7 linked regions of the Callithrix jacchus genome follow. The protein of the gene in region 2 interacts with the protein of the main gene of each other region in a pairwise test. Links are inferred from orthologs where the notes say so. Each region holds a gene or a part of one and is shown on either strand. Other genes may lie near its edges. The genes, in order: BAG5, KASH5, BET1, SENP2, NRIP3, CDC73 and RNF146.

Region 1 (4,074 bases), on a different chromosome or scaffold from region 2:
GAGAATATTCTGGGCAAGCTTCACAGCCTGTTTCCGGGCAGCCTTACACTTCTCCTCTCCCTGCGGGTCGACAGCATCCAGGGCCAGCAGCTGCTTGGTGAGCAGCTCTTCCAGCCGGATGTAGTTCTTATCGGTTCGATTCCCATCAAACGAAAGCACTTCTCCCTGGATCTCGGACAAGTTTCCAAGGACGTTCCAGACGGCTTTATGGGATGGGTGCTCCTCACAAGCAATCAGCTTTCTTTTCTCAAGGGCCTCCTTCAAGTCAATGTACGTGATCAGAGTTTGCACTTCTATCACTGCTCTTCTCCTGGCCTCTCGGATGCAGGGGTTCTTTTCAAGACTTACCTCATCCAACTGTCCAATCAAACCCTGCAATTCTGTTTTGGAGCTCAGATACAACTCAGGGGGGTTCTGCGCTTGGAGGAGTTCATTTTTTATTTCTCTCATTCTCTTGAGGACCTTTTCTATTTTTAAAATGGAATGATTCTGCCTCAGGTCAAATGCTCTAGTAGTGTCTGCTTCCTCTTCTAAATCCAGGTATTTCAATAATTTGTTAATATCTTCCACTACCTCCCTCCGGTAATTTCTGATTTCTGTCCGGCCGCACACATCCAGAGCATCCAGGTCGGCCATCAGCCCGGACAGCACACAGGATAAGTGCCTGCAGGTCTCGCTGCTGTTCACACCCATCAGAAGCGCAATCAGGACCCCTCGGGCCTTGTTCACCTCACACATCACAGAGTTGATTTTGGCAACAGAAGGGTGTGCATCCTCAGACAGCGGCAGGGAAGGCTGCTTTTTCATGCAGTCTTCGATAATCTCTTGCACTGCACAGATTTTGGTTAAAGTGTGATACCTTGCTTTCCGCAAGGAGATCTTTCCTCCAGTTTTAACATGTGTCAGCCTCAGAATGATGTCCTGGATGCCTTCTTCGAACTCATCAGTTATGCAGTTGCCGCCATTATAAAATGGCACAATTTTCTCTCTCACAAGGGACTGGGCTTCCTCAAAAATGCTCTGTATTTCAATCCTGTGTGGGTGGTTTGCATTCTGCTCCAGCTCTTTGAGAAGACGTTCCGTCTCCTGTGCCGCCCTCTTCCTGGCTTGCTGAATATCTCCTTTTCCTTCAGTATCTACAGAGTCTATTTCAAAAAGTTGTTTTGTGAGAATCCGCTCCAGTTTCTTGTAATTCTTGTCATCGGACAGACCACTGAAGCCGACGACTTGCTGTTCTACACTTTTTACTTCCTTTTGGATTTCCTGAAGCCTGCTAATAGAAGGATGTTGGTTTCCCATATCCATACTTTTGTGGTGGTCAGTTTCACAAGCACTAAAAGATGACAAGAATAACTTATTACAGCACAAAGCTTCTGCAGAACATGAATGATATATTAAGACACTAAAATTCTCATTTAAACAGGTATACTGTCATCCCACTTCAGCCTCCCCAGCGGCTGGGGTTACAGTCGCACATCACCACGCCCAGCTAACGTTACCACTTTTAGGAAAGGCACGTCTCACTATATTGCCCAGGCTGTCTGAGACAATCCGCCCGCCTCCGCCTCCCAGAGTGCTGGGATTACAGGTGTGAGTCACTGCACCCGGCACAAACTCTGTTTTTGGAACCAGCAAGGCACCTTTGTGCAACGTGAAGCAGTAGCTCTTGTAACCTGCCAAACATTAACAGCACCCCGCCCCCGCCAAACAGCTATGCCTTAGTTTCCAGAAACTCTAAGCCAAAGACACTGAACCACTAGAACCAAAACCAGGGGCTCTCAGCCATCCCCAAGGTTCCCGCTTCGTGGTTTCTCTCCTCGCCTCTGTGCTCCTCCCTGCCCCACCCTTTTAGCTCCTCACATATCTGCCCTCACAGGTGTCTCCCTGAAGAGCTAAAAACCCCACAGGTCAAGAAGAGCGACGGGGACTGCGCTGAAGGCGCCATCTTGGGCCTTGGAAGCCCAGAACCTCCTCAGCCCCTACCATGCTCCATTCTCTCAAAAAAAACACGACCCGCGAACACGTGGTAATTATGAATAATTCATTCACTCGCTTCCCACTGAGAGTCCACAGTGGCTCAGTACCTGTTTCAAGCTATTGGTTTCTACCAAACGGCGTGCTCGAGGTGGGCAACCGACGGAAAAGCCTCCACCCCCTGTGGGTGTCCTGACGGCCACGGAGGGCAGGCCGCCGGCGCTCCTTCCTCCCCGCCTCGCCCTTCCCTCTTGGCCCTTTACCCAGAAGAGACCTGAGCTGGCTGCAGTCTTGGCGTCCCGTGGTTGAGGTGGGAGGTGGAAGACCAGCCCTTCTCGGGGTGCTGCACCGGAGCTGGGCCCCCAGCTGCATCCCTCGCGCCCCTCCCGACTAGGTCCGAGCCGGGCAGCGGTGAAGGCGCCGCCACTTTACTGCTGCAGCAGCTGCCCCGGGCGTCTCGGCCCGGGTGCCAGGGCGCGCCCGCCGGCCCTGACCTCACAATGGGCGCGCGAGGGGCGCTCGGCCCGGCCGGGTAGAGCCTGGCAAGGAGGGCAGCCGAGGCCCCGCCGGAGACACCAGAGACCAGACCTGGCCTGCCCCGACCCGCGTCAGACCCAGGGGCGGGGACGACACCGGGTCCCGCCCGGTCCTGCCTGTGCCAACAGGCCACGCGGGGGTGGGCGCCGGGACAGGGGTGGCCGGGTGGGGAGCCCCGCGCCGATGTGAGGCTACACTCGTCCCCGCGACGGAGGGAAAAGGCCACACGCCGCACTTTGCTTACCTGTCCCGCCCGCGCCATCGCGCGACGCGCCGCCGACGCCTCCGCGACTTCCGCAGCCCCGGCCGTCGCTCGGGCCCGCCAGCCCCGCCCCGGGCCGAACAACCCCAAACCCGGGGACACCTCCGGCGTCCGCTCCTAGCCGCCGACAGCACCACGCCCACCGCCAGCGCGCAGCGAGGCAGCCTGGAGTGGCCGCGACCAAGGAGCGGCCGGTCGGGTTAGCCTGCTTCGCCTGTCGACCCCGCAGCCGTCGCACCGCAGGGAAAGTGCACGATCGGCCGCGTCGCCGCGCTCCCTCGGGCTTCGCGACCCTGCCGTAAAACGGTCCCTCGCGTCGTCGCAATGCTGCCGTGCGCCGCGGGAGCCAGGCGCCGTGGGGCCATGGTGGCCTTGCGGGCGGGAAAGAAGCGCCTTCTCCTTCCTCTCTGCCGCGCCTTCGCCCGCCGCGGTTGTCAGCTCGCTCCCGAGCACGGCGCCGAGCGCAGGGATGCGGCTCCCAGCGGGGTAAGCTGGCGCCTGGGGACGTTGGGCCCGGAGGGGCGGCCCCAAGGCTCTCGCGTCCACGCCCTCAGTCCGATGGGACCAAGGGTGCCGCCGCCCCGTCGGGGACTGTTGACAGCCAGAAGCTTTAAGCATAACAGAGTCACCTGCCAAGTTTGTGCCTACCTTATTTATTCCTGAGAATTAATTTTTTAATTTGAGACAGGGTTTTGCTTTTGTTGCCCAGGCTAGAGTGCAGTGTCGCGATCTTGGCTCACTGTAGTCTCCGCCTCCCGGGTTCAAGCGATTCTCCTGCTTCAGCCTCCCGCGTAGCTGGCGTTACCGGCACCCACAGGCACCCACAACCACGTCTGGCTAACTTTTGTATTTCTAGTAGAGACGGGGTTTCACCATGTTGGCCAGGCTGGTCTCGAACTCCTGACCTCTGGTGGTCTGCCCGCCTCGGCCTCCCAAAGTGCTGGGATTACAGGCGTGAGCCACCGTGCCCGGCCGGATAGTTGTTCTTATTTGCACACTGTGTGTGGGTATATGCATGTTACCGGCCAAAGATTCGCAAAGAATGTCTGTAGCAAGAAAGAGTGACAAGCAATTTTCTTTTTTTTTTTTTTTTTTTGAGATGGAGTCTTGCTCTGTCGCCCAGGCTGCAATGCAGTGGTACCATCTCGGCTCACTGCAACCTCCACCTCCAGGGTTCAAGCGATTCTCCTGCTTCAGGCTTCCGTGTAGCTGGGAATACAGGCACCCACCATCTCACTCAGCTAATTTTTGTATTTTTAGTAGAGACGGGGTTTTACCATCTTGGCCAGGATGGTCTCGAT
Region 2 (3,500 bases):
ACCTTGAGCTCAGGCTGGATCTTCCAGATAACCCCAGCCCCCCACATTCTTTACACCCAACATTAGGCAGCACTTCCCCTTCCCAGATCCCCCACTGGCTACCCAGCCACTGGGCTGACCTGGCTCCCTCACTCCCTGTCACCCCCATAGTCTAGCAGGATCCAGACCTCTCCCTCCTGCCCCTGACTCTCTCTGCTCCACCCCTCCTCTCTGTCTCCACACCCTAGCCCTTGCCTTCTCCTCCTGGACCCTCACCACAGCCTCTTCTCTGGCCTCCCGGCCTCTAGTCCCTCCTCTGCTCACAGCCCTCCCTGGGCCAAGTCTGATGAAGGAGGTTGAAGAGAACTTCCATCCCCACTTTCTTTTTTGTATGTATGGCTGGAGAAATGGAACATGACCACCTTTTCTTTTTTGAGTTGGAGTTTTGCTCTTGTTGCCCATGCTGGAGTGCAATGGCATGATCTTGGCTCACCGCAGCCTCCACCTCCCGGGTTCAAGCGATTCTCCTGCCTCGGCCTCCTGGGTAGCTGGGATTACAGGCATGTGCCACCATGCCTGGCTAATTTTGTATTTTTAGTAGAGACAGGGGTTTCTCCATGTTGGGCAGGCTGGTCTCAAACTCCCAACCTCAGGTGATCCACCTGTCTTGGACTCCCAAAGTGCTGGGATTACAGGCATGAGCCACTGTGCCTGCTCCTCTGCCTTTTTAAAGACAGGGTCCTGCTCTATTGCCCAGGCTAGAGTGCAGTGGTGCAATCACGGCTCACTGCAGCTCTGACCTCCCAAACTCAAGTGATCCTTCTGCCTCAGCATCCTGGCTGGGACTACAGGTGTGTGCCACTGCACTCGGCTAATTTTTAATTTTTAGTAGAGATGGGGTCTCACTATGTTGCCCAGGCTGGTCTCAAACTACTGGGCTCAAATGTTCCTCCCACCTTGGCCTCCCAAAATGCTGGCGTAATCCCAGCATTTTGGGAGGCCAAGGCTCCCTGCGTGAGCCTGTAATCATGACCACTTTTTTATGGAGCACTGCCTCTAAGTGTGAGGTCCTGGGGATATAATGGTGAGCAAACCAACCAAATAAACCCAGGGGCCAGTGGATAACTAAATAATCAGATTTCCTTTGCAGGTAGGTGATCCAGCGGAAAGACCTGCTAGTCCATGAGTGAGCATGGAGCAAGGAACTCTAGCCAGGGGCATCCCAGGGCTTCCCCTTTGCCAGAGGTATGATGGATGAAGGATGGTGTGAAAAGTCGGGCAGGGGGTGGGGATTGAGGAGTGGAGGGGAATAGCCTGAGCAGGGGCCTGTGCTGGGCAGAAGTGAGGCACATTCAAGGTAGGGCAGCAGAGCCAATGTGCCTGAGTGCCTGGACTAGAGTGAGGAGGAGGAGAGGTTAATGATGATGGAGCAGAGGTAGGCAGGGCTTTGTAGGCCTCTCTAATAGGGCTGGTGTGAGGAGGAATTGGAAACTACCCTCTGAAGAAAAAACACCCTAAAAGCTCAGGGAAGGAAGGGATGGAGGACCTAGAAAGCCACACTTACCCAACTAGGTCCCTGGTTCCCACCCTATCCCTTGCTCTGCCCTGGGTGGTAAGTCCCCACACTGTCTGACCCAGGGCCTGCCTGCTTCATTTCTATATATAGAAATCTCACCAGATGGCAGTTGCTGGGAGGTCAGGGCTCCCTCGAAGGCGGTCTCCTCTTCCAGCTCTAATCCCCTGTATCAAAGGGATGAGGCTTACAGCCCCCCTGTAGCCACCCCTCAATCCTCACCAGCCACAGGCAGGGGGATTGCAGGTGGGAGGAGGGGACCAGGTCAGGTAAGAGCTGGCACCACAGGGGAGGATGATGGGGCCAGATGGCCAGTGCCTGCAGCCAGATGGAAAAGCAGGAGGGGCAAGGGCTGGGTTTGGTGAAGGGATGGGGAGGGACTTCTCTGTCAGCCCCCAAGCTCCTCCCTTCTCCAACCCTGTTTTGACTCCCAGGCCCCCTCTGCCTCCTCATCCAAATTATTTTGTCCTCAGACTGACTCTCTATCTACCCTCTCTGAATCCCATCTCTTCATTTTTCTCTCCACAGTCTCATTTCAAACACAGTAGGTCCTTGGGCCTAAAGAATGCTAGCTGCAGTAAGTGGGTATGAGGTTAGATCTTAGGAAGGACTTCCCAGAGGAGGATGAAGGTGTGGGGACTCACCCATGCAGTTGACAGGCAGCAATCCAGTCACGCATCACAACCAGGAAAGTGTCCAAGTCCACGGTGGCCTTAGGGCCCTCTCCATTGGGGTCCAGGCTGTTGGCCAATGTTTGGAGGCGTGCATCCTGGGGACCCTGGCCTGTCACAGCCTCCAGGTAGGCCAGCACCTGGGCCACAGCCACAGTGCCTGGGACAGAGCATGAAGTGAGGGGGTCTGGGGCAGGTGGGGAGTGGTGGGTATGGAATGGCAGCAGCTTGGGAGCAGGATGTCACTGGCTAGGCTGGTGGCACTCCTGCTTCAGGCCCAGTGGAGACACATTGGGCAAGTCCTTTCCCCTCCTCTAAGTCAACTTTTTCACCTGTCCATCACAGGGTGAACCAAAGGGGATGGATATGGAGACAGTACCCCATGCCCCACCCCACCATGGTGGCTGCCTCCCTTCCCCATCCCAAGACCCCAAAACTCTACCCTCCTTCATCAATAGCCCCAGAGTTTTCCTCATTCTAAAAGGCATCCACCCCCTTACTTTCTTCTTCCTGAAGTTGCCCACAGTCATGCACTTTGTTCTTACAATACCCCCAAGAGGCGGCCCTAGCCCGGTTTTCTCTCTGAGGCTCCCCAGTTCCCAGCCTCCATCCCTATCCTGTCCGCACTGGTCCCCAGCACCCCTCCTGCCCCCACCACCTGTCTTGTGAGGATCACAAGCTTCGAATGTGGAGTTGAGTACTTGCTCCTCCAAGTTGAGCGGCGTTCCCAGACTTGCCTCCTCAGGCTGCTTCCAGAGGTACACTGTGGGGACAAGAGGGCCCAGCTCCCCAGTGAGAAGAATGAGGAAGGAAAAGGGGTGACCCCAGGTCTTCAGCCTCCTGGGCTCTGCAGAGGGGAGGGAATTCACTCAGAGCACCTAGAGTTAGGGCTGGTGCGGAACAGCAGGAAGCTTCAGGAGGGGGCAACAATGTGAGGGTCTCTGAGTCACTTCCCCCCATCTTTCAGACTAGGAAGTCCCCTCTGCTATCTTTTTGTGTCCAATTGGCTTAGGAGCCCAGATAAGGATGCTCTGAGATCATCCTCTCCTCCTCACCTCTCCAGCCTCCTAGGCTGGGCTCAGAGAGGGACAGGGCAGGGGAGGGCAAAGAAGAGAGAATTCTGGGAGGAGCTGAGAGTGAAGGGGGCTCAGGAGCCAGGAACAATCCAATAATGCGTGGGCAGCCCAGATCGATCCCGCCTGCCGCATCTCCGGTCTCCCAGCCCACCCTGGGGACCAGGGCTCTCTCCTCCCTGCATCCCCAAGGCAAGGCTGGCA
Region 3 (4,282 bases), on a different chromosome or scaffold from region 2:
AACAAGCTCAATATGAACTAGCTTTGCCTTACTTCAGTTATATTCTTAGTACATTACATATATTTTTTCCTTTTAACTACATTTCATTCTTATGTCTTCCTACCATGTAAAGGAAGAATATATTTTAGGTAATTCAAATGATTAGTTTTGGTAAATATTAACTGATTTTCAAAAATGACAATTTCTACATTTTCTATCAGCAAGCCTTCATTAGGACAATTTTTAAACATGTTTCATTATAAAACATGCATTTTTTAATCAAACAAAGGACATAGATTAAAAGTTGTAATGGGATATCTAGCTATCATCTATTACTGAATCTCCATCTTTTATTTGTAATTGTCCCTGATTTTATCCTCATTTAATTCCATTGCTTTTAGAAAATGGCGTTTTAATTTTAACGAAGATTTTTTTTCCTATGGAAACCTTATTGAATAAGTCTTCCTTCTCAGGTTAATAACTCTCATTAAAAGTAGTTTTCATGTGTTTTATACAAAAACAACTTAATGCAGAGACTTGTGCCACTATTATGGTCAAGGTTAATAATGTCTTGGGAAACTATGAGAAAATACTAAATGATCAGAGATCACGTATTTGTGGAGTGGAGACGATTCCACTACCATACATATGGCAGCAACAACAAAACTGGAGATACCCAGTGGATTTTGATTACCTACTGTGTATCAGATTTTTCTTTCTCCGAAAACCATGATTACCGTATTCTCATGATAAATAATCCGGTGAGACAAAATGAAATTCTAGGATTAACCCTGATACCAGCAACATCTTCACTCGCCAACAAGCTTTTAAACCCCCAAACTGGCTCAATGCCTTGTGTAAGCAGTATTTCAATAACATTTGCGTAAGTTAAAAAAAAAAAAAAGTTAAGTGGGAGGGAATTTAGGGGTCCTTTGTTCCCTATAACAACTAAAAGTCTTGGTTCCTCAAATACAACAGATGCAGTAACAGTAACGGAACTATTCAGTGTCTCCTATGAGACCCCACGCTTTTCCTGGGCTGCTCCCATCTGAGCAGGAGTCTTACTCCAAGGAACCTGGTTTTCTCTCCTTTACTGGATACATGAGGTACAAAATCTGTTACTTCTGTGGATGTTGGATTACTTGTTTGTAAACTGAGAAACGTGGACAAAGTCTTCTCTAACTTTCCCTGCACTACCTCTGGAGGTAAGAGAGAGTACAAGGCTCAATCAGGAAAGTTATCCCAATCAACCTCTTGTGGGCCCGGAGGAGGAGATCTGTTAAGTTAAACTTGGTGGTCAATAAACTGAAAGCAGCGACCCGGAGGGCCGCGAGACAAGCAGCGGGGATGTTGGATAAGAAACCCAGAGTTAGAGCCGCAGCCGAAGCCGCCCCCTTTTCCGGAGCCCCGTCCGCTCCTGGAACCGGGTTCACACCACGCCACCTGCGACACGTTCTGCGTCAGTGAACTACATTTCCCAGAATGCCATTCAGGCTTCTTCCCAGGGCTCCAATGAGCGCCCTAGTGACGCCATCAGTCGGCTCGGTGTTTAGAATCTACAGCTGTCGTGGCGCTTTGCTGGAAGAAGTTGGTGTTCCGCGGGGCCCTGGTACTGAAGACGCGGTTCGGGTCACCCCTAGCTCTTTCCTACCCACCTAACCCCCCGCGCCCGCCTTTTTCCTCTCTCCTCTGGCAGGATGAGGCGCGCAGGCCTGGGTAAGAAGAGGGCCGAGGTTCGAAGTTCGGGGCCCTAGAACCGGCCATGCTGGGCGCGGGAGCGCGGGGGCGCGGGAGCAAATCGGAGCTATCTTTTGTTCTTGGCATTTGGTCCAAAAAGCAGGATCTTTAGAGGGTATCTTTTGGGCCTTGTCGAGTGGAAACACACCATTTGTCCCAGATCCTAGGAGTTTCCTTAAGTTTGAGTCAGATTCAAGTTTGGATGGTAGGCTAGAGAAAGCATTGGACTGGGGTGGGTGTGTACAGGTGACATCTCAGTGGTCGAGTGTTTTAGTGTTATTGACTGAGCTTGGTTATGGACACTGGTGTGTTTTACAAAGCCCGACTTCGGTTTCTGTTTCTCTACTGGCCCTGGATCTTTGTTTCTTCAGAAGCGGAATTTGAAGAGTGGGTAGTTGCACGCAAAGCACACTGATAATGGTCGTTAATCTGGTAACAGTGAGTTACAAAGGTAAATGTACGTGTCATTACTGTTAAAGGTCCTGGAACTGTAACATCTGGGTGAAAGGCGATTTCTTATCTGAACCTTGTGCCATGATTAAGGCAGTAGAATGTAGTAAGGTTTGGTATCTTAACATTTGATCTTGACCTTGGGGTTTAGGAAGCTGGCTCACCAGCAAGAATAAGTTAGGCACAAGGAATTTTAATGGTCCTCTATAGTAACATACAGCTATTAGAGCAGCGTTTTCTGGTTCTGAAGCTTTCTCTTAGGACAGTATTTTTTTTTCTAATAAGACTGCTACATTAGAGTGCTGTATACTTCAGAAAATAAATGAAACATTTGCAAAAAGATAATGTTATCTATCTCAGTCATTATAAGATTTAAAAAAAAAAAATTCCAAAAAGTGTCAGATATTTAAAGTCAATGAAAGTTGCCAATAACTATAGACTTGTTATCGATTAATAAATTGTAGTATGAGAAAGTTTTTTTTAATGAAGTTTTTATGACTACTTGGATCATAGAAAGAATGTAGGGCCAGGTACATTGAAGAGAAAAAAAAATAATTTTCAGCAAGTTTAGTTTTATATACCTAAATGTTTTTCTTGTTCATCATCATTAATGATAAAAAAGGATTTATTGTGTGCCTGAGTAAGCTCTAGGTTTACAGTTGTTTGCTGCCCTCTTTGTGCTCCCCAAAGCTTCCAGTCTAGGTGTGGAGTAGGAATATGTGCAAAGATAACTTATAGTACAAAGTAGTTGCTATATATCCAAATACCAGATAAGTTCTGCATATAAGTGATGGTCTCAGAGGCTTCAGATATAGATCACTGTATACTTTGTGGAGAAGATCCTTGTGTATCTTGTGGAGACTTAGGAATTTGAAGTAGACCTTGAATAATGGAGAGTGGGGGAAGTGAGTTCCAAATGGGAACTCAAAAAAGTAAGGGATTATGACTAAGCCAGTTTGGTTGAAGTAGGGGATGAAGGATCACACTGTGGAGATCTTTGCATGTGAGGCTGAAGAGTGGATTTCATGGCCAAAGAGTTTGGATTTCATCAGTAGGCCTCTAGGCCCTTTGGAGTATTTTTCTGTTGTAGTATGCCATGTTAAATTGCAGGAAAATGACTTGAGAAATGGTTCTCAGCCCCGGGAAGTTTTAAACTTATTGTTACCTGGACCTCAGCTCAGCCAGTTAAATTAGAATCTCACTAATTTAGAGCCCACTACCCCATACTCCTTTTTTTTTTTAAAGCGCTCTCCTGTGATTGAGAGGAGAGGTGATTACTTAGGTAACTGCTATTGCTATAATTTATATTGATGTGAAGTGACAAAGGCTTTTTTTACACATTTTTTTCTTTTCTTTTCCCTCCCTCCCTCCCTCCCTCCCTCTCTTCCTCCCTCCCTCCCTTCCTTCTTTTCTATCTTTTTTTTCTTTTCTTTCTTCTTTTTGAGACAGAGTCTCCCTCTGTTGCCCAGGCTGGAGTGCAGTGTTGCAATCGCAGCTCACTGCAGTCTCCACCTCCCAGGTTCAAGCAATTCTCCTGCCTCAGCCTCTCAAGTACTTGGGATTACAGGTGTGCACGACCACACCTGATTAATTTTTGTATTTTTTAGTAGACGGGGTTTCGCCATGTTGGTCAGGCTGGTCTCGAACTCCTGACCTCAGGTGATCCACCCACATTGGCCTCCCAAAGTGCTGGGTTTACAGACATGAGCCACTGCGCCTGCACTTCTTTTCATGTTTTTAAGTATCAATGTATATTGATCTGAAATTTTAAATTTGGGATTGTAGTGAATCTGATAGATATTCATAGGCAGAAGCTGTCACATTCATATGTGTCTCTAAATGGTTCTGTTAGCTTACTGATAGAACCTATCCAAAAGAAGAATCATTTTTCTAAACTAACAAAGGCTGTGTATGATCTTCAGTACCCGCTAGCTTTTTTACACCTTTCATAGCAGTATACCGCCAGAAGAGAAGTGGCTCTGTTCAGAATAGCAATTCTAGCATTTTATTTGTTTTTGTTTTTTTGTCCATTGTATTTGGGGTGGCTCATAATTTGAGAGAACATCAACTCTTTAATAGGAGAAATGTGCATTAACATATTTTTGTACAATAAACA
Region 4 (4,288 bases), on a different chromosome or scaffold from region 2:
TTTTTTTTTTTTTTGAGACGGAGTTTCGCTGTTGTTACCCAGACTGGAGTACAATGGCACAATCTCGGCTCTCCGAAACCTCTGCCTTCTGGGTTCAAGCAATTCCCCTGCCTCAGCCTCCTGAGTAGCTGGGACTATAGGCGTGCACCACCATGCCCAGCTAATTTTTGCTTTAGTAGAGACGGGGTTTCACCTTGTTGACCAGGATGGTCTCGATCTCTTGACCGTGTGATCCACCCGCCTCGGCCTCTCAAAGCGCTGGGATTATAGCCGTGAGCCACCGCGCCCAGCCTAGAAAGCCATCTTTTACTTTAGGTGACAGTATTAACATGAACAGCCTTAAAAGATATTTTTTTTTAATTTTTGTTTTTTCTTTTGTGTGTGTAAGGGAGTTAAAAAAAAAAAAAAAAAAACTGTTCTACAAGGCCAGGCACAGTGGCTCACGCCTGTAATCCCAGCACTTTGGGAGGCCTAGGCAGGTGGATCACCTGAGATCGGAAGTTCAAGACCAGCCTGGCCAATGTAGTGAAACACGCCCCCCCCATGCCACCCCACCCCCATCTGTACTAAAAATACCAAAAATTAGCCAGGCATAGTGGTGGGCACCTGTAATCCCAGCTACTCGGGAAGCTGAAACAGGAGAATTGCTTGAACCTGGGAGGCAGAGGCTGCAGTGAGCCTAGATCACGCCATTGCACTCCATCCTAGGCAACAAGAATGAAACTCCGTCTCAAAAAACAAACAAACAACAACAAAAAAAACCTGTTCTACAACTTAAAAGAGAGAAATCTGAATCAGAAAAAGGTGTTTAATAACTTTTATCATGCAAACTACATTGCATTATGGTGGTAATAAAGAACTTCGGAATTGAGGAAAGTTTCAGGATCCAGATGTCAAGAATGTTAAAGGCTCACAGCATATTACTCATCGTCTCTCTGAACACCTATCATCTATTATATTCACACACATACACACACACACACAAAATGAGAAGAATGAGATCCCAGGATTCCACTCAGCTCATACCTTTATACATTCCAACAAGCCTCCTGGTTTCATTTTGACTGAAAATTGGTTTACACTGAAAATTGGATTAAGGATGTGAACACACTTAACATGTAGTAAAAATCAAGGTTTTGATCTCCAAACCATGTTCCCCAGACTAGAAGGGACTCACATCAAAAAGAGGACAAGGGAAAGGGAATTAACTTTCTGTTATTTGATAAATATGTACCTAGTGCTTATCATGCACCAGAGTCTGCAAAAGACCCCGGGGTAGAATAAACAAACACTACCCTTATATACATTGAGCATCAGTTTAAGCACTTTACAACAAGTTCTCAAATGAACCTTACATCAACACCACAGAAAGATAGGAGAGAAAAATAAGGCAATGTATTCCAGAGATGCAGTTTAAGCAACAACCAATTTCATTAATAACCTGCATTCTCAGACTAACGTATTAGACATCTTGTCCTCGCAAGCTTCCACAAATCACCACTTCTTTCACTTTTCTTGATATTGAGGCTTAATTTTTAAAAAATGAAATTAACACTTGATCACTGAACTTGGGGAGGGGGCAGAATTTGTATGTTATTTTCTAGATTAATTTCTAGGCAAGGAGGTCAGTCGATTCGATAAAATGGGACGCTCCAAAGAGCAGATGCTAAATAAGAACAGCTTTTGGGGCGGGGCACGGCGGCTCATGCCTGCAGTCCCAGCACTTTGAGAGGCTGGGGTGGACAAATCACTTTAGGTCAGGAGTTCAAGACCAGCCTGGGCAAGGTGGTGAAACCCATCTCTACCAAAAATACAAAAATTAGCCAGGCGTGGTGGCACACGCCTGTAATCCCAGCTACTCAGGAGGCTGAGGCAGGAGAATCATTTGAACCTAGGAGGCGGGGGTTGCAGTGAGCCGAGATCGCGCCACTGCACGCCAGCCTGGCGACAGAGCAAGACTCCGTCTCAACCAAAAAAAAAAAAAAAGAAAAGAAAAAGAAAACTGCTTTGAGTTTCCCCCAAATTTTAACTTAATTTAAGAGGACAGACTAGTGACTGTTTTAAAGTAATAAGGCACGTAGCCCTTTTTTCTCATTCACTAATTCTAAAACACAAAACCCTTCTGGCCCCAAACACAGACTGTTTGACAGCTGTTTCAGAACAAAACAGCTGCTGTTTCTCGCTTCAAGGACAGTGGTTGCAGTCAAAACGGCTTTGGGCAATGTATGACTCTCACTTCCTTTAAATGCACTTAATGACCGCAGATGACACTTGGGAGGCTGCTTTGTGAGCAGTGAGCCACAACAAAGGCAGTATTCCTTCAATGTTGGTGTTCAGCCTAGCGCGGCAAAGCCCCATTAGTTATCGGCAACCAGCGTGGCCTCTGACAAGAACGTCAACGACCCTGCCATCATCTGCCGCTCCGAAGACGACCAGGAGCTGCCTCCCCACGGCGTGGCGGGGGCGGCTACGTCACTCGGACCCCGGTGACCCGCCTCAGGTGAGCCTGGCTGAATCAAAGCATCTCAGCCGCCGAGGAGGCCGCTGTGGGGGAGGGGGGAGGGCCAGGCCGCTGCTCAGCCCCCTCTGGTCTCACCTGTTTGAGCGCCGCCTCTTCAGGAGGGCCCGGGCAGGGGGCACCGACTTGTCGCAGAAACGGAAAATGGTGCCGAGAATCCTAACCAGCCATCTGTACATACCAGGCCCGAGCAGCAGCGGCGGCCGACACACCCCGAGACGCAAACCCCAGAGCTGTCGCCGCCGCTGCCGCCTTCGCCGTCTCAGCCACCACAGCCGGAGTTCGGTCGCTGATTTGTGACGCGATTTAAGGGCCCACAGATAGAGCGTCCCCAGGGCTACCCGAGGCCCCCGCCCGCCACCGCTCCTGACGTTACCTCCTCCCGCCCAACCGGAAAACTTCATTCTCAATCTGCGCACGCGCAACCTGGCAGCGCCCCCTATTTCCGAGCCCAGCAACAAGAATAAGTGTGGGACGGCCCCGGCCCAATCGCTGACGAGATCGGAAGGGCTGTGGGCAGAGTTTTCTCTTCGGCGGAGCCAATTCCGAGCCGGCCCGTGGGACAAGGCCCACAGGCCACACGTGAGGCTGCTCCACCGAGGAGAAGGCGTTCCGGGGTTCCAGAGGACATTTGGTGCTCAAGTGTTTGCACACGTAAAGGTGGATCAGGTTAATTAACACATGTTTACCGTTTTAGGAGCCATTTATTTTTTTTATTTTTTAAAAAAATTTTTTTTGAGACGGAGTTTCGCTCTTGTTACCCAGGCTGGAGTTCAATGGCGCGATCTCCGCGCACCGCAACCTCCGCCTCCTGGGTTCAGGCAATTCTCCTGCCTCAGCCTCCTGAGTAGCTGGGATTACAGGCACGCGCCACCGTGCCCAGCTAATTTGTTGTATTTTTAGTAGAGACGGGGTTTCACCATGTTGACCAGGATGGTCTCGATCTGTTGACCTCGTGATCCACCCACCTCGGCCTCCCAAAGTGCTAGGACTACAGGCTTGAGCCACCGCGCCCGGCCAAGAGCCGTTTATTTTGTACTTACCTTTTGCCTCGTACTTTACACGCATTGTCACCTTAATGTCGCCCAGCAACCGCATATGACAGAGAGTTTTATGCCAACTTTATAAGTCAAGGAAATTGGGGCATAGAGCGATTAAGTTATTTGCCTAAGATCACAAAACTAACTAGAGACGTAGCTGGAACTTGAACCCGGGGGCTGAGTACAAGCCCTTAAGGTCAGTCTACTTGGAGACGTGTACATAGATAATTACAAATTACAATACAGCATAAGTGGTTACTGTGATAAAGGTATGTGCAGAGTGCAGTGGGAGCCAGAGAAAGGAAAAGCACACACTGAAGGAGAGAAGGAAAGGGCAGATGTCAAGAAAGGCTTCACAGAAATTTAAGGGTGAAACCTGCCGGCCATTAATGTCTCCTACCCTGGGCTGGTAAGGAATGAGTCTCATTACCCTCCCTCTACAATCCCAAAGTCGTACTTCTAGTTAATTGCCTACTATAGGTCGGGAGAGGTGGCTCCTGCCTTAATCCCAGCACTTTGGGAGGCCGAGGTGGGCAGATCGCTTGAGCCCAGAAGTTTGAGACCAGCCTGTGCAACATAGTAAAACCCTGTCTCTACAAAAAATACAAAAATTAGCTGGGTGTGGTGGTATGCACCTGTAGTCCCAGCTACTTGGTAGGCTGAGGTGAGAGGGCTGCCCGAGCCCAGGAGGTAGAGGCTGCAGTGAGTCGAGATCACACCACTACACTCC
Region 5 (4,250 bases), on a different chromosome or scaffold from region 2:
ATTCTAAAAGGGCTGGCAAGTTGGTATCAAGCAGTGAACATTACAGAAACAGCATAGTAAGAGGTAGATAATTCAGAAATCCCAGCAGCATAATTCAAATATAGGTTACTAGTATGACAACCTACCATCTTCACAAACCCAAGTCAGTTACAACTAATTTTTCCTCTCTCCCTTATCTCCCTTTGGTGCTATCCCATCCCTTTTCTTGGACCCATTATGTCAAGATTATACTATAAACTACTTCAACTAAGAACTATTCAATTAATTTTCCCATCCTCCAAATTTCCCTTGCAGTGAGAGAAAATGGAGTCAACACTGGTCTATCCCAGATGTATTTATAAAGTAAAACTATAAGAATGTACTTCATAGAAAATGATTTTTGAAGTTAATTTACATATAAAAAGAAAAAAGAAAAATAAATGCACTTCTGAGATCACTTCTAAGATTGTACTGAGGCTGCAACAACAGGTCGGAGAGTTTAAGCATGCTGCCTCACTCCAGCGCTTGCAGCTCTCCTAGCCCTACCTCAGTCTGCCTTGGTTTCTGTAACCTGGCTGTTCTGTGCAATCACTTGCACATCATAGGTGTGAAAACAGTGAGAGGGAAATCAACTCCACGACGATGGGGTACAGAAAGCATGAAGCATGATTCAGAGCCTCACAGTCAACTGGCATGTGTGAGTGTGTGTCATACTCACGGCAATATCCTACTTCTTGAGGCTCCTTCCTTTTTGCAGCCTACTGCCTGTGCTCTATGCTATCAGCCTTTCATGACTCAACTGAGACAGACTGGAGTCAGAAAAGTGGATGGAATTCTTACACAGCATTAAGTAGTCTTATAAGAAATCCTAGACGGAAGGAAGCTCAGGTAGTTCTCAGAACCAGGAAACTCCTTGACAACCCGGGACAACCAAATTCCAGCATTAAAAAAATTCCGTATTTTAAATCATCTCTTAATTTAATACTTCCTTCTTTATTGGCTTTATTGATTGCTGAGCATTCTAGGAACTAGGAGAGGATTACTTGGCCTGAAGGAAATAATACTTCTTGAACCTGATTTGTTCAAGATTTGATCTAGATTTGAATCTAGATCGCTTTAAAGTGAAGGAAGGGAGAAAGAGAGTTATCTCTTTCACAGGAGCACATTTCAATCACTTATCACTCTGGGTTAGCATAAATCAGATAAACTATCCTTTGGCTTGTGCAAAACACACACACACACACAACTTTTAAAAAACAGAGCAAGATAACTGAAGTAGACAAACCCTGCACAGAAGTAACTAATGGTGGCAGGGAGGAGACAGATGATATTGGTACCTGTGTGTCATTAGAGCTGTTAGATTAAAAAAAAAAAAAAAATGGATGCAGAAGCTCTGCCCTCCTGGCACCAGAAATGGCAATTTCGTGAACTAGGGCCAACAACCACATCCAAAACTAAACATTTCAAAAGCTTAACATAAAAAAAAATACTAGGAAAATTAGGCAGAGCACCTATTTCATTTGTTAAAGACATTTAATTAGTGTTTTATACATTACCACACAAATGCATAAAGCGATTGAGAAATTCAAAAAAACAATCAAACTACAAGAAAACTCCAGATAAAACTATAAAGCTAAACATAAACTTGGCTCAGGACCACGACAGTGGCTGAGGGATGACAAGATACAGTTCTTTATATCGGTAATCCTTAGCCATCCATCCCATTCTATAGAAAGAAGACAGTACCATCTTTGACCCCTGTCCTGGGCTGCTTCTACTTAATGCCAAGAACAGCCATACTAGAGGGGAAAAAAAGAAAAACCAAAACACTGCACCCACCCCAGCTCCAAATGCACACATGAGCTGATCGGTGAGATGGAGCAGCCTGGCTTCCTCTGTCTACCCACTCCTTGGGGGCGGGGCTGGAAGAGAAGAAAATGATGAAGAGATGTTGGGGGTTCAGGAAACCTTCACATTCGACCCCTTTTCTCTCTCCCCACTCAGGATGGAAGATCAAAGGCAGACAGGACCAAAACTAGAGAAGTAGATTTTGCCTAGGGGGACAATGGACTCAACAAAACCTCTGGATCTGGCAACTGTCAAAAAAAAAAAAACAAAACAAAAAACAAAAAAAACCCTTTCCACTTCTGTCTCTCCTCACACAGCCATTAGGAATCACCTCTGTCTTGGTCATAGGACCAGACACCTAGCGTGTGAGGCACAAGCCCCATGAACAAAATTCAGGGTATTAAGAATAAGGGGAGAGAAAGAAGACCTGAGGGAAGGAGGGAAGGGCAGGAGGGCAGGGCAGGGCAGGGTCTCTTCCTTCTACTGGAGAGGAGAGAGACACCCAGGGAGGAGGCACAGCCGAGGGGAGCGCTAGAAAAGCCACGACGGAATCCCCACCGAGACCGCAGCAGGGGTGCTGGAAGGGGAGGAATCCGAGACCCAGCGAGAGTCAGCCAGGGACAGCGGCGGGCCGGGCCGTGACTCAGTGAAAGCCGCAGCGGCAGGGCCTCGGGAGACCGCGGGCGCGAAGCCGCCGGGGCCCGGGCCGGGGCCGGGGAGCTCACCGTGTCCTTGGACGAGCCCAGCTTCTTCAGGCCGTCCAGGGGCAGCAGGTCGGCGGAGTCCTTGTGGATAAACTGCACCGCCTGCTTCATCCGGCGCTGCTGTCGCAGCGACGCCGCCTCCCGCATGTCGGTCTCCTTGCGGCCACCCTCGGTGAGGAGCCCTGAGTAAAACATCGCTGAGGCGCCTGCGGCCCAGCGGCCGGGTCGCCCGCGGTTCCCCTGCAGCCTCAGCCTCGAGCTCCTTCAGCACCGCAAGGGCCGCGCGCCGCGCCTTTTATAGCCGAGCGTGACGGCGCGGGGAGCAGCCAGTGCGCGCGCGGGGGGCGGGGCCGGCACAGCATCCACGCCCCGCGCGGCTCCCGGACTTCCCCCGTACCCTGTTCAGGTCGGCGCTTCCCAGCCCACGGCAAAGAGAGCGAGGAGGGGGCGGCGCTGGCAGGACCAACCTGGAGGGCCGAGAGTCCAAAGCGGCCGCTTCGTCCAACCGCCTCCTCCCGCATAGAAGCCCCGCATCCCCTGGACGGCCGTGGGCTCTGGGGTCCGATGCCCTGGCAGCCCCGGCCACCTCCGCCTCTGGCCGCGGGTCCCTGCTCACCTGTCCACGCTGTGGCAGACCCGGGGATCACCGACAGCCGGGCCATGCCTCGATTCCCGCCGCCCGCGCCGCTGCTCGGCCTCTCAGAAGCACACCTGCACGCCGCCAGAAGGGGCTCCAGCGCCCACCGCCTGGGCCAGGAGGACTGGCGACTCCCTCCGAAGTTGGGAGTGCTCGGAATTTCTCCAACTTCAAGTCGGTCCCCACCCACCGGGCCACGTGACTGGGGAGGGGGCAGCCGCTGCGGGCGTGTGGAGGAGTCTGTCGGGACCTCCTAGCCCGAACACCCTCTGCCTGCAGCCCGGCACCTGGCCCGCGTTCCCGAGCCGGGGAAGCAGGTGCGGTTCCCTACACCTGCTCTCCGAACGGAAAAGCACCTTTATCAACAAGTGCTAGGGCTTACCGTCTGAAGGATCTTTCACCATCTCTCCAGCGTCCTTAGTAGGAGCAATTGGAACCCGTTTTTTTTCCCCTGAATAATCCATACTTTTAATCCATTCTAATCGGGCCTTCAGGCCTCCTGGATTCTGGTCTCGACGCTGTGATTTAATACAAACCACGTTTCCACTCTGGAAACCACAACTACCCTCTTCGCCCCATCACACAGGAGCAGACCTGGATAAGAAATATGTGCACTCTGCAAAGAACCATTGAGAAAAGTAACAATATCGATGCTTACTGAGCCTTCACTATGTGCCAGGTACTGAAATAAACACTTAAAATGCAGTGTCTCATTGAATCCTGGCAACAGCTTGTAAGATAGTATTCTCATTACCCCCATTTTACAGGCAAATACCCGATACCTTCTGTCTGGCCTCCTGAATGCTCCTGGTTCCATTCCAATCCGGTGTTCACTGTGCTGCTGGAGTAATTTTCTCAAACGACAACTGTGATCGTCTCACTTCCCTGCTAAGAGTACCTCAAAAGGCTTCCTACTGCTCTTAGGAGAAACCCACATTTTTGCATGGTCTGCCTAGACCCTGTGTATCCACTCTGCACTTCAGCCTCAAGCCTTCTTCCAGTTCCTTTCAGTCACCTTTGCCAAATGACCTGCCTTTGACTGTCCTGTTCCTTCTGCGTGTAGTGCCCCCTCCTACCCTCTT
Region 6 (4,225 bases), on a different chromosome or scaffold from region 2:
ATTAGGCTCTGGGCTTTATCAATAAAGAAATTCAACCATATCCTTATTGAAGAGGATCCATAAGAGAAAACAATCAAACTGCTCAGAAGAAGCACAGTTACCACCAGTGCTGAATATGAAAGAAATTTACCCTACGGCTCCTGCTAAATAAAACACTGTTGGACAACACCCTTCACATTCTTACAGTGAGCACAGCACTGGATTTCAGAGATATGACTGTCATGACATCCCTCAAATTAGACCAATCATGCAAAACCAAAATCCTACTCTACCTGTGATAAAACAACGTGATATACTAATGGTGCAAGCTCTCTAATGCAGGTCCTACTGTTACCTCATTCCAATCGCACCCTTCCTAACTACACTTGTCCCATCTATATAGCTTTGAATCCATCTGCGTACGGCCCACAGTAATCGGCCCTAAACCTACTTTTCTAGCTAGCTTTAGTCCCGCTTTTCCTCTAAACAGGTGTATTTCGAACCACACACCACTATCAATTATTGTACTATGAAACCCAGTTAACAACTGTATTTTTTCTATTTTCAGAATAGAAGAGAAAAATAAAATGCACTGCGTGCAATAAGAAGAATGATTTTACATGTGTATATATTTACATGTGCATGTGCACATACAGAAAATAAAAATAATTTCTTGATGTGATTCACTGTTGAAAAAGTTTAAAATCTACTGTGCTAAGCATTCCTTTTTCACTGGCTTCACTGAATTGCTGTCAATACATTTACTTTCTAGTTCTCATGCCTTTAACCATACAGTTCACTCATCTTGGAAGACTTAACCCATCATTTTCACCCAGAGAACTCCTATCTACCCTTTAAAGCTTATTTGTCACTCATTCAAGAAAACTTTGTTGGATGTGAACTTGCCAAAGACAACTCTATAGAACTTTCCCTAAATACTTCTAACTAGAAGTGACTGCTGTCTTCATAAGCTATTATAGAAAGCCTTTCACACCAACTTACCTGTTTAAACTCCTGTATTCGGATTAAGTTAACCTCCTTTGAGGTAGAAACCACAACTTAGAAATTTTTTTAATCCTCAGATTGAACCACTTCACATTCTAGGTACTCCTTAGCCATTGTTTAAAGAAAAAAAATTTTCATTAAAAATCCAACCACATGTAATTCTATCTATGCAAATTCTTTGGAAGGGTAAAACACAGAAGCTCTGAATGTCATTTGATCAACATTTTATAAAGCTAATTAAATTGTAAGACCAAAAAAATTAAAAACCAACCAACAGGCCGGGTGCGGTGGCTCAAGCCTGTAATCCCAGCACTTTGGGAAGCCGAGGCGGGCAGATCATTTGAGGTCAGGAGTTCGAGACCAGCCTAACCAACATGGTGAAACCATGTCTCAAACACAAAAATTAGCCGGGCATGGTGGCAGGCGCCTGTAATCTCAGCTAATCCGGAGGCTGAGGCAGGAGAATCACTTGAATTTAGGAGGCGCAGGTTGCAGTGAGCCAAGATTCTACCACTGCACTCCAGCCCGGGCGACAGAGCAAGATTCCCTCTCAAAAATAAATAAATACCAACCAACAAACTAAATTTCTGTAGTTTTTCATCGACTCTTCATAAAGCTTCCATTCAAACAAAATGAGGAGGTTAAGTTCCAGCTCAAGGTTCTAATTACCTAAGTGAAGCACCAATGACAGTGATGTGACATCATTAAAAAGGCCCCTAACGACTGTTAGACCTATCTCTGTAAGTTTTTCTGAATGACTAAAATTGACAAAACTTCACATGGACCGACATTGCAAAGCACTTCCCTTTAAAAACACACTTCCCAAAACACACACTATCAATTTCTTAGATCTGTAAAGCGAACCCCATTTCCCCAGTAACTCTCTGAGAAATTCCTGAAGACCTCTCTCACACAGATTTTAATGACTCGCCCAAATTCACCCAGTTTCTTTCCGATCCTAACTTCAGAGTGGATTGTTTTTTTCTCCTCTACAAGAACAAGCAGCCGTGGCTCCCCACAGTTAGCAACGAAAGGAGAGGAAATAAGCCATGCGTTCCCAGGACCAGAGGAGATAGTTACATGGCAGCCCCGAAGAGAGGGGGAAAGGAAACAAAACAAGTGCCGCCCACGGCAGCAGACGGTCTGCCCCCTGGTGCACCTATGCTCAGGTATCCCTGTGCGCCAGCCCCACACTGCGCGGGCCCACGACACCTACCGCTAAGAATTAACTGTGAAAAGTCCGAAACTCCCACGGTACCTTTCCTCGGGGCTTCGCAAACATTTAAAGGGATGGACGGCTCCAGAGCTCCTCCCCTTCTCTCCTCGCCCTAGAAGTACAACTTCTGCTCTCGAGAGAAACTTTCTCTCCCCGAGCACCCGTTCATCCCATCCCCGGGGGAAACGGGGGGAGGGGTTATCAAAGAGGTCGCCTGGGGGCGCCCAAGTCCGCCCCGCCACCCGCGGGCCGCAGCCACGCCGGACTTACCCCCAAACGACATAGTTGGTCTTCACATTCTTGGGCCAGGAGAACTCCCCGAAGATCACTTCGTCTCCCTTCACCACAATCTCCTTCTTCTGGATGTTGTACTGTCGCAGGACGCTAAGCACGTCCGCCATCTTCCGCCCCCTCGCCGCCGCCGGCCCGGGGCGCCGCCGCTGCCGCCGCGCCTGCCTCCTTCTTTCCCTGTCGCCTCGCCCTCTTCCTCCTCCTCCTTAGCAGCCGCGACGAACCAACAGCAGCAGCACTAACAGCCGTCCTCGCCTACGACAGCAGCAGGGGCAGCAGCCGCCCAGGCCGCCGAGGACCCCGCGCTCTGAGGCAAGGCCCCGCCGCCGGCTGCCCGCGGAGAACGCCTGACTGCGCTCTTCCAGCGCCGCAAGTCCGCCGCCAGGGGGAGCCGCGACCGCCTGGAAAAGGGCCCCTCCCAGACTTCACCTCGGCACGGAGCCCACTCGCTCGCCGAAACCCTGAGCGCCGAAGCACCGCGCCCACGTACGGCGCACGTACGGGGAACACGGTCGGGCGCGTGCGCGCGCAGCACGTACCCAGTTCCCCGCGGCGCGCACCCGGCGGCGACAGGTGCGCGCGTACCTGCGTGGCAGGTCCGCACTTTCATCCTCAGCACGTGCACTGAGTATTTAACCACCGGCCTCGGGTGCGACCAGAGGCTCCCGCGTCCCTGCTTTGGCCGGGTTGGCATTTGGCAAGGATTTGCAGAACACTGGAATTACCCTCCTATCTAGATCGGACCCGGGCCTAGCCAATGACCTCTAGGGCTTAGTGATCCGGAGAAGCCCTTTTGAAAGGGTGGGGCCCTTGGGGTTTGGGTTCGGGTTTATTGTTTGCTTTTGATGTGAAAAATAACGAGTTTGGGGTTTTTATTGGTTTTGAATGGAAAAGACCGAGTCCAGCAAAAAAAAAAAAAAAAAAAAAATTCTGGGCACTGCTGTTTGTTAGTTATTTGACTCTGGTCGAGTGATAGGGCTTCGCAAAGCATCAACTAGTTAATGAAGAAAATGGGCTTAATACAAAGATAAGGTAAACGCGTCTAGCAGGTCAATGAAATATCCTCACTGTTGGATCCTCCTGCTCCATTCTTTGGATGATGACTTTTTTTATCCCAGTCCCTTCACCCTGCCAATCCCCTGGCCTCTCTACTAAAAACACAAAACAATTAGGTGGGCATGGTGGCGCACACCTGCAATCCAGCTGCTTAGGAAGCTGAGGCAGGAGAATCGCTGGCACCTGGGAGATGGAAGCTCCGTGAGCCAAGATCACAGCACTGCACTCCAGCCTGGGCGACAGAGTGAAACTCCACGTTAAAGGAAGAAAAAGAAAATACAATCGTATAAAATGCTCAGTTAAAACCACGAACAAACCGGACGCGGTGGCTCACGCCTATAATCCAAGCATTTTGGGAGGCCGAGGCGGATGGATCACGAGGTCAAGAGATCGAGACCATCCTGGTCAAAAAGGTGAAACCCCGTCTCTACTAAAAATACAAAACTTAGCTGGGCACGGTGGTGTGCACCTGTAGTCCCAGCTACTCAGGAGGATGAGGCAGGAGAATTGCTTGAACCCAGAAGGCGGAGGTTGCGCTGAGCCGAGATCGTGCCATTGTACTCCAGTCTGGGTAACAACAGCGAAACTCCATCTAAAAAAAAAAAAAAACCACGAACAGCTGGGCGCAGTGGCTCAGGCCTGTAATCCCAGGCTGAGGCAGAAGGATTGCTTGAGCCC
Region 7 (4,261 bases), on a different chromosome or scaffold from region 2:
ATAAATGAAAGGAATTAAATATGGGTTTGAACAAGAAAAGATGCAGCCATTTTCTTAAATACAAAGACCCTGGGTATGAGTGAGAAACAGTTGTAGTTGACATCTTACTGTCTGTGCCTGGATTCAAATCTCAGCTGTGTGCTTCTTTCTGTAAAATGAGAATAACAATAGTGCCTACCTCATAGTTTATTAGGAGAATTAAATGGGTATATATAAATAAAGCACAACACCTGGCACATAGCTAATTAATAATAGCATTATTTCTTCAAGTTGGAATCTTTGGGTACATTATCAAATTTTAGCTATTCTGTGTTCATGGGCTGTGTAGGATAGAGGGATAAAACTGAGTGGCTAATAAGAAGATGAAGATAGAAAACTAAGCTTAAAGGACATACACTTCAATATTTCTATATGTACAGAACTTGTAAGAAAAGCAGTTTTGCATACATGAGCAAGCATCACTGAACTAGATGGCACCTTTCAAGAGACTGGTTTACATATTGAGATATGAGAATGAGAACCCTGAAATAAACTGATTCAGAGGAATAACAGAAAACATATAAATTTCTATACATATAAGGTCGCTGAAAACTTCCCATCCTGAATGAAACATTTAATGAAATCCCAAAACGCAACACTATTGCAAATAAGACACTGTCATAAAATTTTGAAATACATACGCTTTTAAAGATAAAAGGCCTGCTCTTCCACCCTCTTCATTTTCCTACAAATTAGGAAAATTTAATCAGTTCTGAAAAAGGAAATGTACATGCGAAAATGGTGAATACTGCTAGAGTTCTGATGTTTTAAACCACAGGCTTGCGATCAAAATAACCTCTTTAATTTTAGATTCTCATGCAGATTAATTTCTTTCTCCAGTTTTTCAAGCACTATTCTGTTTTTTTTTTTTAAAAAAAGGAGGGGTTCAAAGGGAAAGTAATATCCATGCTTTTCCCGATTAAATTGCTCAACCATTAAAAAGGTGAATAAATTAGAAAGCCCTAGAATACTCTACCCCCTCGGTCCGCCCCCCACCACCCTTTTTTATTTCTTGAAAGGGAAAAGCAGTTCTTTTGCCAGGGGATCTTCAAGCCGAAACTCGGCTAGGCACCCCAGGGCTTCTCCCGGATCGCAAAACTGGATTTCTGCGCAGCACCACCTGCAGTTCCTACACGCGTTTTACTTCCTCCACCCCAAATCTGCTTGCTGGAGCTGCATTCTTTCAGAGCCTCTGGCCCCTAATACAAACAAAGTACACTCTAAAGCAGCCAGAAGGATCCAAGCAGCGAAGTCGCGGATCCCCACAGGCAGGAGAGTGCAGGCAGGCAGCGGCGCGAAACCGGGACGGAACGAAGAGACGCCGGAGCGAGCCCGCGGGTGCGCGGCGCGGCTTCCGCCCCGCGCGGCCCCGCCCCCGCGACGCGCCGGGTGGTCACGTGAGGGCCGCGCGCGTCCCCGGCCGCTGCGGGCTCAGAGGCCGGAGAGAAAAAGACTGCGAGGTGTCCGCTGCTGTGGCCAGAGAGGTGGCAGTCGGAGCGAGGCCCTGTCGGGGGAGCAGGGAGAACTCCGGCCACTCCAGGACCCTCACTGGGGGAGAGGAAGCATAGCTCGCGGTGTCACCTTCAGCCGCGACGTACTCCGGGTCGGCCTTGCGCTCGGGGCCTGAGAGGGGCGGCGGCGGGGTCAGGGGCCGGTACGTAGATGGACGCCCTTGGGCTGGCGCGGCCGCGGCTGCCCGCGCAGAGGCGGGATGGGACAGCTCAGCCTTTTCCGCCACCCCAGCCTTGGCTGCGGTCGCAGGCTAGACGGCCGTGACAGCCCCTGTGCTGCCCGAGGGCGCCGCAGACCCTGCCCTGGGTGACGGCCTGAGCTGGTCTCGGTCGGGGTGCGAGGGGCGGAGCAGCGGCCATTACTGCGCAGCCTCTTCCGCCGGAGCCCGCGTCGGTGCCTCGGGTAGCAGGCGGGTCCCTCTCCTCCCCCTGGGCCGTGGTGTCAGGCCTCTACGCGGGGACCTTCTGGCCTCGAGGTGTAGGGGCGGCGATGGTTTTTTGGCAGTAGCCTGCTCCCTGTTTCCCGTGTGGGGTCAGACACTTTGGGCCTTGGGTCAGATCGAAGCCAGGGCGTACAGTCTGCATTTTGTCTTTTCCCGGAGTGTCTCTGGCTGCTGCTTTCTCTGCTCTTTCTCTTCCTCCTTTTTCTCCTCCTGCTCAGTGTCTCGGTCTTGCCTAATACGAAGAGAGCATTCCTGCACCTTGTCCTAGTGAAGCCCCGCATTGCATATTCTTAGCTGTTTTGACGGCTGTTAAAGCATCGGAACAATTAAGAGGTCTCAGAATGTCCCTTGAGCCTCCAGACCCTCTGTACATCTTAAAAGCCGAGGCTGTTGCTTTGTTCTGGTTGTTGGGTGGGGAGTTCTCTTCCTACCCTCCATCCAGTCTGAAGGAGTGCGGGTCTTCCATTGTTGTCGCTATTTATTTTTCAAAGGCTTCTAAAGAATGTAAAATTATTTTTAAGAATGTGGAGAGGGAACCGTCCTCTCCACAGGACTGTAAGTTTACACACACATCCTGGCAACAAGAATCTTTTCTCGTTCATCATTTTGGTATACGTTTTAATTTAAGTGCCGTTTTAGTGAGCACTTATTTCTCAAGTTTTGAACATTTTAAGTGATATTTTTGTAATATTGAAACAATGTACAACTGAGGAGAGAAGAAAGCCAAAAGATGATGGGGAACGCTTTGTTCTTTGTATGATTGACATTTCAGGTGCTGGGCACATCACCCCCACCCCGTGTGTGTACTTTTCAAATGGGATGTGAACGTATAATATTGGCATTCAATGCAGTATATAATTATAAATCTGGAAGACTTAGGACATTTTAGTCAGTGAATCTATATTTAGACTTTTAAGACATGGCACGTAAGGACACATGAAGAAAATATCCCACACAAATAACAGGATTTGTGATTGTGCCTTTGCTGTTTTATGACTAGCAAATACTGTTTTTGTGGACTGTCTTGGTGCCCTAAAAACACATGAAAATAGGTCAAGTAAATCTCATTTTAAAGAGAAAACTGGAAGAGTGAATGCCACTCTAAAAATAGATTTTGGATGTGTTTGTTTTGGTGCCTTGTATATTTTAAAGTGGAGGATGTTGTTCAGCCCAATCTTTCATTTACAATTTGTGTCTCAAATGGGCCAGTGTATGCTGTGGGCAGAATGGAAATACATTTAGTTTTTCTTTTCTTCGATGGTTGTTCAGAACTTGGTAGAATTATAATCATCAGGAAAACTTTGTCCAAATAGCTGGTCTTTAGACAAGAGGAAGAAAAAACAATTAACTGTTTTGTAAAGGCGATGTCCACTTGCAAAGTGTTTTGTTTCAGTCTCCACCAACTTACATTGTCAGAAGAAAGGAACAGACATTTTTTTTTAAAAGGATCCAAAACGATATTTTGAGTTAGAAGAAAAGGATATTAAATTTTCTGTTTTCACAATATCTATCTGTTTAAAGAATATTATTTTATGTGCTAGCCATATACTAGCATGAAACGTCTAACAGCACTGTCAGTTGGGAATTCGAATGTGTATTTTTCTTCGGTGTTAGTAATAAAAGGTACTGAGCCTTTTCCATTCTCTTACCTGGTTCCCTTGTGCCTGAGGAGTCTCAATTTGTGAAAACAACAGGCTGGATCGGGAACAATCTTTTTGGGTATAGAAACCAATTTATTTAACACTTGGCTACAACCACCTGTGCTTACTTATGAACTATCTTTAGTTTTCATGGCTTATTACCTTTTGGGTTAATTTAAATCCAAAATGGTTGTTAACTGACTGCTAATTAAAGCATTTAGAACGTAAAATATAAAGTAGGACGAGATAACAAAACACTGGGGGTTATGACTTGACCAAAGTCACACAGATAATTTGCCAAAGAGCCTTTCTTATTTATGAAATGGTTGCTGGCTAAGAAACATCTGTGTTTGATATTATTAAAAGATTTGTTCACTTTTATATCTCATGTTTTGAAATAAAATGCAAAGCCCACTTTTTTGTTGTTGTTTTGAGAAAAATTGAAGGGTTTAAAGCGCTAGTATAAAGATTGTGAGGTCAATAAGTAGATTGCCACATAGTAACGTTTTTAAAGGGAAATATTCTTTAAAGTATCAGACCCCATTTAGTTGCAGTGAGTTTTGTTGAAGTTTTCGAGTATGACCTATGCTTTTTCTTAGCTCATTTTTAGCAGGTGATGATGAGGGCT

What was found.
Region 1: the proteins of KASH5 (region 2) and BAG5 interact in binary tests that used the Homo sapiens proteins (3 or more experiments, as listed by UniProt). The two-hybrid records come from large-scale screens. The link is inferred for Callithrix jacchus from reciprocal best matches to the Homo sapiens genes KASH5 and BAG5.
Region 3: the proteins of KASH5 (region 2) and BET1 interact in binary tests that used the Homo sapiens proteins (3 or more experiments, as listed by UniProt). The two-hybrid records come from large-scale screens. The link is inferred for Callithrix jacchus from reciprocal best matches to the Homo sapiens genes KASH5 and BET1.
Region 4: the proteins of KASH5 (region 2) and SENP2 interact in binary tests that used the Homo sapiens proteins (3 or more experiments, as listed by UniProt). The two-hybrid records come from large-scale screens. The link is inferred for Callithrix jacchus from reciprocal best matches to the Homo sapiens genes KASH5 and SENP2.
Region 5: the proteins of KASH5 (region 2) and NRIP3 interact in binary tests that used the Homo sapiens proteins (3 or more experiments, as listed by UniProt). The two-hybrid records come from large-scale screens. The link is inferred for Callithrix jacchus from reciprocal best matches to the Homo sapiens genes KASH5 and NRIP3.
Region 6: the proteins of KASH5 (region 2) and CDC73 interact in binary tests that used the Homo sapiens proteins (3 or more experiments, as listed by UniProt). The two-hybrid records come from large-scale screens. The link is inferred for Callithrix jacchus from reciprocal best matches to the Homo sapiens genes KASH5 and CDC73.
Region 7: the proteins of KASH5 (region 2) and RNF146 interact in binary tests that used the Homo sapiens proteins (3 or more experiments, as listed by UniProt). The two-hybrid records come from large-scale screens. The link is inferred for Callithrix jacchus from reciprocal best matches to the Homo sapiens genes KASH5 and RNF146.

The regions. Positions count from the first base shown.
Region 1 is NC_133509.1:138,390,412-138,394,485, forward strand, and holds the start of BAG5 (BAG family molecular chaperone regulator 5), read right to left. Parts: upstream 2,801-4,074; 5' UTR 2,347-2,800; coding exon 2,249-2,346; exon of another isoform or gene 2,054-2,248; intron 1,334-2,053; coding exon 1-1,333. Other genes in the region: COA8 (cytochrome c oxidase assembly factor 8), read left to right, coding at 3,137-3,259. UniProt on the Homo sapiens protein: Co-chaperone for HSP/HSP70 proteins. It functions as a nucleotide-exchange factor promoting the release of ADP from HSP70, thereby activating HSP70-mediated protein refolding.
Region 2 is NC_133523.1:43,158,454-43,161,953, reverse strand, and holds part of KASH5 (protein KASH5), read right to left. Parts: intron 2,987-3,500; coding exon 2,882-2,986; intron 2,384-2,881; coding exon 2,197-2,383; intron 1,720-2,196; coding exon 1,655-1,719; intron 1-1,654. UniProt on the Homo sapiens protein: As a component of the LINC (LInker of Nucleoskeleton and Cytoskeleton) complex, involved in the connection between the nuclear lamina and the cytoskeleton.
Region 3 is NC_133512.1:55,613,280-55,617,561, forward strand, and holds the start of BET1 (BET1 homolog), read left to right. Parts: upstream 1-1,482; 5' UTR 1,483-1,491; coding exon 1,492-1,588; exon of another isoform or gene 1,589-1,676; coding exon of another isoform or gene 1,677-1,695; intron 1,696-4,282. UniProt on the Homo sapiens protein: Required for vesicular transport from the ER to the Golgi complex. Functions as a SNARE involved in the docking process of ER-derived vesicles with the cis-Golgi membrane.
Region 4 is NC_133516.1:14,535,634-14,539,921, reverse strand, and holds the start of SENP2 (sentrin-specific protease 2), read right to left. Parts: upstream 2,801-4,288; 5' UTR 2,698-2,800; coding exon 2,597-2,697; intron 1-2,596. UniProt on the Homo sapiens protein: Protease that catalyzes two essential functions in the SUMO pathway.
Region 5 is NC_133511.1:74,880,337-74,884,586, forward strand, and holds the start of NRIP3 (nuclear receptor-interacting protein 3), read right to left. Parts: upstream 2,801-4,250; 5' UTR 2,727-2,800; coding exon 2,553-2,726; intron 1-2,552.
Region 6 is NC_133519.1:50,305,204-50,309,428, reverse strand, and holds the start of CDC73 (parafibromin), read right to left. Parts: upstream 2,801-4,225; 5' UTR 2,602-2,800; coding exon 2,471-2,601; intron 2,379-2,470; exon of another isoform or gene 2,243-2,378; intron 1-2,242.
Region 7 is NC_133505.1:133,838,641-133,842,901, forward strand, and holds the start of RNF146 (E3 ubiquitin-protein ligase RNF146), read left to right. Parts: upstream 1-1,461; 5' UTR 1,462-1,693; intron 1,694-4,261. UniProt on the Homo sapiens protein: E3 ubiquitin-protein ligase that specifically binds poly-ADP-ribosylated (PARsylated) proteins and mediates their ubiquitination and subsequent degradation. May regulate many important biological processes, such as cell survival and DNA damage response.